Linked DNA regions of Canis lupus familiaris. The protein of the gene in region 1 purifies or fractionates together with the protein of each later gene. This does not show direct contact. Links are inferred from orthologs where the notes say so. Each region holds a gene or a part of one and is shown on either strand. Other genes may lie near its edges.

Region 1 (4,213 bases):
TGGGGAGTACTAGTATTAATGTCTTTCTGCTTATCAGAACTTCTTGTGATTATGATTTGATCTCTTGATATTTAAAAAAAAAACTTGCTAATTGTGATTTTCAAATATTCCAGCATGATACTATTCAGCCCATATAAGAATACTTTTTATTGGGCAGCCCCGGTGGTGCAGCGGTTTGGCGCCGCCTGCAGCCTGGGGTGTGATCCTGGAGACCCGGGATCGAGTCCCACGTCGGGCTTCCTGCATGGAGCCTGCTTCTCCCTCTGCCTGTGTCTCTGCCTCTCTCTCGTTCTCTCTGAATGAATGAATAAATAAAATCTTTTTTTTTAAAAAAAGAATACTTTTTATTGAGATATGGTATGCAGTAGGTTTCATTATGTAATGATGGATTAACAGGATATTTCAAAGTTTACAACTAAGAGTGGCATATTTTTATGTGAGAATCAGAATTATCGGCAGTGAATAAACATGATTAATATTTGAGGCAAAATACATGGTATTACATCTAACATTTAAAATTCCAAGTTTCAAAACAACCTTGATTAACATTATACAACATTTTTTTTTTTCCAGGAAGACTTGTGGATCAGAATCTGAACAAAATTGGGAAAGATGAAATGCTTCAAATGATTAGACATGGGGCAACACATGTATTTGCTTCAAAAGAAAGTGAGATTACTGATGAGGATATTGATGGTATCTTGGAAAGAGGTGCAAAGAAGGTGAGGTGTAGATTAAATGATTATGTTTTTAATATAAAATCTTTTAAATCAGAACTGTTTGAGGAAATACGTATGTGAGCCATAAAAAGGAGTTTTTGTGTACTGCAGAGCCTAACTTATTTTGACTACAGTTCTCAAGGTTTTTTTTTGTTTTGTTTTTAATTCTCAATATAATAAAGTGGTTTTTTACCCCTAGACTGCAGAGATGAATGAAAAGCTCTCCAAAATGGGTGAAAGCTCACTTAGAAACTTTACAATGGATACAGAGTCGAGTGTTTATAACTTTGAAGGAGAGGATTATAGAGAAAAACAAAAGGTAACTTGAGAAAGCTATTTTGGTTACTTGAAGGCCTTACTTTACTTAAAACTTGCGATTTTAAGTGTTAGCTGTAACACCTTGTAAATTTGTCTCCAAGCAGTCATTTTTATATATTCACATCTAAATTATTTTCATTTTTACATGTAATATCAAATTTTCAGTTAGTAATCTCTGAAATGTTTTAAAAGCTTATGTAATGAGGCTTACTATATACACTGTTAGAGTTGAAATATATTGTAGGGGTGATTATAATTTAGAATCTTTGAAAACAAATAATTGGCAGAATTAACATAACCTTACTAGATTTTTTTTAAAAGACATAATTGGCTGGTAGTGATTAAAGGGGAAAAACTTCGTAATTTCTTAAGTAATATTTGTTAATATATAGTGAAATTAGAAAATACAAGTTGGAAGAAAAATAGTTCTACTCAATGTTTTTTCTGTTAACATTTAAGCTTTGTATATCCTCTGGATTTGTTCTAGGCTAAATACATATCTATATTTTTCTCCTAGTTTGAGTTATAGCATTTTCTGTAGGTCTGGTCCTTCCTCCTCCTCACCAGATAAAATGTTCTCCATTTGGTCAAGAAATACTTAAGTATATCTTTGCTATTCACCATGTACTGTGCAGTGTATTAATTACATAGTTTTGAGCAAAGTATAGTCCCTTATCCTTGAAGAGCCAATGGTCCAGGATTTTATGAATATCTTGCCACTTACAAATAACAGTTGTAATGATGTATACACAGTATGAATTGCATTCATCTAAGATTTGTGACTGTAAACAGTCAAAGTTGGTGATTTGCATTGTTTCCTGTATGCTAGATTGCATTCACAGAGTGGATTGAACCACCTAAACGAGAAAGAAAAGCCAACTATGCTGTCGATGCCTATTTTAGGGAAGCTCTTCGTGTCAGCGAACCTAAAGCACCCAAGGTGAGTTGATGGAGCAATAAAATATCCAAAAATACTAGAATTGTAAATATTTTTCTTATATTCTTAATATTAAAGTTAGATTGAGAATTAAAATCTTCTGTGGCTTCTTACAGTGTATTTCCATCAGTTTTCATTAAAAAGTTTTCTTAAAAATTAGTTGTAAGTATATGCATTTAAAGTTTGATTAATGTTCACTATTAATGATAAATTCAGTTGCTTGGAGAATTAGCCATCATAAGTTTTGAGAGAGGAAGTTACAATTAAAATCAAAGCAAAACTTTTTTTTTTATGGGTAATACTGTGTTTTGTTTTTTTTTTTTCTCTAGGCTCCTCGGCCTCCAAAACAACCTAATGTTCAGGATTTCCAGTTCTTTCCTCCACGTTTATTTGAATTATTGGAAAAAGAAATTCTGTATTACAGAAAAACAATTGGGTACAAGGTAATGGAAATAACATTTTGTTCATAACTAACCTGGTTTTGTTCTTAATTTAGTAAATGGAGGGTATATCAAGTTTTTTTTTTTTTTTTTCACGGTTGGATTAAAACTTGTAAAACGTTATTTGGTTGGTTAAGAATTTAGGGCAGCCCCGGTGGCGCAGCGGTTTGGCTCCGCCTGCAGCCCAGGGTGTGATCCTGGAGACCCGGGATCGAGTCCCACATCGGGCTCCTTGCATGGAGCCTGCTTCTCCCTCTGCCTGTGTCTCTGCCTCTCTCTCTCTCTCTCTCTGTGTCTCTCATGAATAAATAAATAAAATTAAAATCTTAAAAAAAAAAAAAAAAGAATTCATCACATACTTTCTAAAATCTACTGATGGATGATATAAACAAATATTTTTTTAGGTGCCTCGAAATCCTGACCTACCAAATGCAGCACAGGCACAAAAAGAAGAACAGCTTAAAATTGATGAAGCTGAACCCCTTAATGATGAAGAGTTAGAGGAAAAAGAGAAACTTCTAACACAGGTATATATAGTCTTTATTCAACATAAAATTTAGTGTAACCATTACTTTGTAAGGGTACTATGCTTAGGTATGTTGGGGTACACAGAGAAGTACATGTTTTGTCTTTCAAAAAGTAAGTAATTGAAGATGATAAAGCATGAGCCATATGGGTGTATGCTACAGTTTGATTGTCACTAGTTGTTGAAGTAGAGAAAGAGTATAGATTTGCGCAAGCCTTACAGTGGATATGTTTTTTATTACGTTTCTTCCAGTATTCATTTTCTTTTCCTGTGAATCTTCCACATTGGTACTAAGTTACTGTTCTCAATTACAAGTCTCTTTTTGGTACTTTTTTGTTTAACAACCTTTAGGGTTTAATCAGGATCTTTTAGAATCTGGCCTTAACGTACTTTTGAAGCTTTATTTTTCTTCCACTTTCCTAATTGTTATTTCTTTGCTCTTTAGTGTATGTTTATTGCTCTTTGCAAACTCCTGCTTATCCTTCAAAATACCGCAAAATCACTTTCTCACAAAATCTCTTTTTCACAAAGCATTCCTCTCTTCCACTCAGATTTAATTGCTTGGTTATGTAAACAATATGTGATATATTGCTAAAAATACAGATCTATGTGTATGAAAAATTACCACTTTAAAATAACTTAAAATCTAGGAGTAATTGAAAATTTTCTAATACTTCAGACATACTCGTAAGTGAAATAGCATTTTACCCATGTTCACTCTGCTGTTATTATATGTTTTGTTTCCATTGCTTTGAAGGGATTTACCAATTGGAATAAGAGAGATTTTAACCAGTTTATCAAAGCTAATGAGAAGTGGGGTCGTGATGATATTGAAAATATAGCAAGAGAAGTAGAAGGGAAAACTCCAGAAGAAGTTATTGAATACTCAGGTAATTTTTAAATCATTTTAATAGATTAAAAAATATTCTCAGGTTTTTGGAGTGCTATTTGGGGAGTTCAGGTTTTATTATTCTGAGTTATGTTTTGATAAGCTAAATTTTGCCACAAGTTTTAGGGCTGTATTTTTTTTGTGTTTTTAAAAAACTGAGTTGGAAAGAAAATGTCCTCTTTTTTAAAATGGCATAGTTTTTTTTTTTTTTTTTTTTTTTCACCCCAGCTAACTGGCTATTGCCAAGAAAATAAGAATAGGTCATTGAATAATTATGCTTTCATTTTATTTTTCTCCACAACTTCTTAAGCACTATGTGCCATTGTTTCCTGAAATCACTTGAATTGTCAAGTGAAGAGGTGTAGTGTGCTGCAGTGAGTGTGC
Region 2 (4,213 bases), on another chromosome or scaffold:
CTCTGTCCGTCTGTGGCCAGAGGTAACTTATTACACATCTATAAAAGATAAGAATTTCTAAGATCCTTTCCCAAAATGAAACTACATGATCTTACAACTGCCAACACTATGTACTTATGACTCATCCCCAAAGCTTAATGCCCAGAAAATTTTAAATTAAGACTATTTCTGGGTTTTAAAAAATCCCTAAGGAATCTCAGAGACCTCTCCTCACATAAATAACAGAGAACTCCAAAACAAATGTTTATCATGCAAATAAATTATTTTAGGAAGATTTCCACATTATGATGAACTCGGTGTGATTCACAGGCATGTTTCCTATGTCTTATGTTTCTATGAATTACCTAATAGAAATAAAATACAAACATTCCAGAAAGTGGACTATCCAAGTCTCTTATTCTCATTCCCAAGGCAAACACATGGCAATAACTCAGAAAGTTAAACCACAAAACCAACTATATTTGACATGTTTCTTCTGTCTTGAGGAAAGTAAAACTCAATTTCATTTTAAAGATTTAGATCTTTTCAAGTCTCTTAACATTTTCCCCTAAAGTTTTACCCTAAGTAAACTTGAGTACCTCCCAGCCAGCCAAATTCAAGATTCTCTGTTATCTTATTTCCATTACTAACCTGGCTTATTAAATTTCTGCTTCCCTCTTATTATCTCATTTTTTTTCTGTAAAAAATGAGATATGCTTACTCAAAAATGCTTTTAAGACTTTCTCCCTTCCCCAAATACATTTTAAAGTACATACCTCCAAGTGATACCAAAGGTTGGTCTAGGAGAAGGATAAGGCCATATGTCCAAGGCAGGTTTTGCATTGTAATTAAAATAAGGGACTTCTCGGATTCCTCCTTTCCTGGCCAACTTTTTTAAGTCATCATTAGGTAAAACAAATATGCTCTTCTTGCTGCTCTTGGTGACAAACTTTCTATACGATGGCAGAGCTGTACCTGAACGAGTCTTCTTGGGTCTTGAAAATTTCATGAGTTTCACTTTATCTCTTGTGGAATACTCTTTGCTCACGGTCATAGATGTCACTAGAGTGCCCCCTGCAGTGGTCAGCGAATCTGTCACTGTTGTGGTGACCACAGTTTTGCTCTGCTCCTTCACAGAGATGATGTCCACACTGCTGCCTGTGGAGGGTGTGGATAGCTTTGTGACTGTTGTAGTGGTGGTTGTGACAGTGGACTTGGCACAATTTTCTGTGGAAGAGACCACAGTCTGCTTATCCCCTTTTGCTACTTTGATTACAGTTTTTGATTCTGTGGCCACCGTGGATGTCATGGTGGTGACTTCTGTGATAACTGTTTTTCTCTTAGACTCTCCGTTGATATTTTCATCTCTGTTGGTGGGCAGACCATTTTCATCAACGAAATCATTACTGAGGTTAGATTCCTCTCCAGAAGTAATAGGTGAGGGAGTAACTTTCTTAACTTCTGAGGTTTCAATTTCCATATCTTCTACCTGATTTGTTGAACTGTTTTCTGGACAAGACAGTGGAGGCATGGTCTCAGACTCTTTGGTTGATGGCAGGGTGTCTAGGCCATCTTGGTAGTCGCATGCAGCATCTGAAGATCTCAGTAAACGTGATTTTGTTTCCAAGTTGTTTTTTTCATTAAAATCTTCCATGATGACATCGCCATTCATGAATGGCTTTACAGCAGATTCTTTAACAGTCAATGACTTAATATCATTTTCAGGAATTATTTTATTTATATTATTAAGCTTTGATTCAAGATCACCACTTGCTACTTTACTCGCAGAGATTTCTTTCAAGGATTCCCCTTTTAAATATGTTTTGGGTTTATTATCTTTTCCATTTATTTGATAAGTACTTGCTTTCTGTCCTTTCTTTTCAGACTCTCTATTTTCATTATTCTTTCTGTCAGTGCTACTTTTTAGATTGATTTGATCAATACATTTATTAACTGATCTCTCCTCTAATTTCTGTTCTTGACTTGGCTTCCTACCATTTGCTTCAGTTACCTTACCCTGTGGTCTCTTATAGTTGCTAGTGGACTTATCTGGAACAAACTCACGTTTCAATGGTTCCAAGCCTTCAATACCTTGTTCTTGAGTTACAAATTGCTCAGAAAGACTTTCATTGCTATTCTGAACAATCATATCTTCTTCACTGCTGTCCTGAATAGACATAGTATCAGAACTATTTTCCAAAGTGCTGTTATATTCAGAGATACATCCTAGTTTTCCTTCAAAGTCTACTGCTTTTGACAGAGATGGGGGATCTCTATCATCAGTACTTTTAGGTACTGATGGAAGTGAAGGGCTCTGGGAAGGAGAAACAATGGTGTCATTATCCTCCTGTATGAGTGTTTTTTTGTTCTTATAGATCAAAGTACCAATTCCATCTGCACTGGCTAGTTTGGAGTCATCAATGAGAAAGTCACTTCCTCTTGTTTTAACCTTATTAAGTTCCTGGCCTTGACTGGTAGGTTGAGAGAGACTCTCATTTATGTCATTTCCAACAGAATTCTGTTTCTGACAGTTTGTCTCTGGGCTCTGAATGGAGATGTCATCTAACATTTGCTCTTTTGGATAAAGTCTGTTTGTTGTATGATCAGGATCATTGATTCTAAGAATTGAGGAATCGCTTTGTGAACATCCTCGAATCACATCTTCAGTTTTACCATTACTTGTGTTAGGGCTTTGTTCTTGTCTAAGCGAGTCACTTTGACACCCTTCTTTTGCTTTTGTTATTACTGATGATTCAGAAAGGCTTTTCAAAGAACTTGTACACGTCTTCCCTATACCCTTAATTCCACCCTCCAACTTCATTTTCTCAAGGCGCTGTTTTTCTTCCAGTGTAAACTGTTTAACTCTCCTTTCAAGAAGTCCATCTAGTTTGGATGATTTAATTTTCTTTTTATAACTAGTCCTTAGATGGAAGCCCTCACTGACATTGACCACATCTACTTGAGAACCTTCCTGACAGTTTATATGCGGCTCTGTTTTCACATCATCATCTATCTCCATTGGTTCTTCCTTAAAGGGTTTCTCATTGTCAGAATCTAAAATTTCTTGTACATCTGTGAAACAAACACATTTATGTAAGTGCTAACTTTTAGTCTCAAATGTGGAATTCACAATATTTTTATTTTAAAAACCACCAATGTTTATTTTCATTTCACTCACGGGGCTTCAGTGTAAATATACATATTTGAAAGCTCCTGATACATGATTAAGATAGGTCAATGGACAGGGCTAAACTTTATAAAAGGTTAAAAAACAGACATTTTGTAAATATTTAAATACTCTGATTCTTAGTATCTGAAGTTGGAATGTTAAAAGAAAAATTACTTAGCATGTGACAGTTACCCCATACTCCAGTACCTTCATGGAAAATTTTATGTAAGATATTTCATAGTCATAAAATATCTTAAGGCTTATACATTATCTAGCTTACCTAGTTTTTAAAGAATGACTTTTCACAAAAGACAGTATAAGTTCCTCAGAAGGCTGGACACAGAGTTATTAGCTCATGACCTGGGATTCCACTACTAGGTCTTTACCCAAGAGGGATGAAAACATATGTCTACATAAGAACTTGTACAAGGATGTCCTTATCAGTATTCATAATAGCCAAAAAGTAGAAACAACCCAAAAGTCCATCAATTGATGAATGGATAAACAAAATGTGGCACGTCCATACAATGGACTATTATTCAGAACTAAAAAGGAATGATAAAATGCTGACATATGCTATAACATGGGTGAATCCTGAAAACATTACACCAAGTCACAAAAGACCATGTATTACGTGATTCCATTCATACAGAATATCCAAAATAGGGCCAATCCATAGAGACAGTAAGTAGACTAGTAGGCTGGGGGGATTTAGGGAGGATTAGAAACTGGGTACTAAGGAGTATGAAGTTTATTTTTGGGGTGGTGAAAATGTTCTAAAATGGACTGTGGTGACAGCTGAACAGCTCTGTGAAATACTAAAAACCACTGTACATTCTAAATGGGTTAGTTATATAGTAAATGAGCTGTGATTCAATAAAGCTGCTATTAAAGAAACATAAGGCAGTACCTCTCCTGCTGTGCGAACCAGATCCATTACAATCTTATCACCCCCAGGCTGCCCTCCACACCGGACTCTCCTTACCTTGGTCCTTCTTCTCAGTAATCTTGGAAACGTCCATTTCACTTTGGTCTGCCCCTTTTGCAGCATCTGAATCTTTTACC

What was found.
Region 2: the proteins of SMARCA5 (region 1) and BPTF purify together in Homo sapiens (affinity purification with mass spectrometry; 4 studies listed by BioGRID and IntAct, with this or other methods). This does not show direct contact. The link is inferred for Canis lupus familiaris from reciprocal best matches to the Homo sapiens genes SMARCA5 and BPTF.

What each region holds. Positions count from the first base shown.
Region 1 is NC_049236.1:43,053,880-43,058,092, forward strand, and holds part of SMARCA5 (SWI/SNF-related matrix-associated actin-dependent regulator of chromatin subfamily A member 5), read left to right. Parts: intron 1-573; coding exon 574-722; intron 723-918; coding exon 919-1,038; intron 1,039-1,866; coding exon 1,867-1,977; intron 1,978-2,303; coding exon 2,304-2,417; intron 2,418-2,818; coding exon 2,819-2,941; intron 2,942-3,697; coding exon 3,698-3,830; intron 3,831-4,213. UniProt on the Homo sapiens protein: ATPase that possesses intrinsic ATP-dependent nucleosome-remodeling activity.
Region 2 is NC_049230.1:14,279,496-14,283,708, reverse strand, and holds part of BPTF (nucleosome-remodeling factor subunit BPTF), read right to left. Parts: coding exon 4,134-4,213; intron 3,052-4,133; coding exon 756-3,051; intron 1-755. UniProt on the Homo sapiens protein: Regulatory subunit of the ATP-dependent NURF-1 and NURF-5 ISWI chromatin remodeling complexes, which form ordered nucleosome arrays on chromatin and facilitate access to DNA during DNA-templated processes such as DNA replication, transcription, and repair.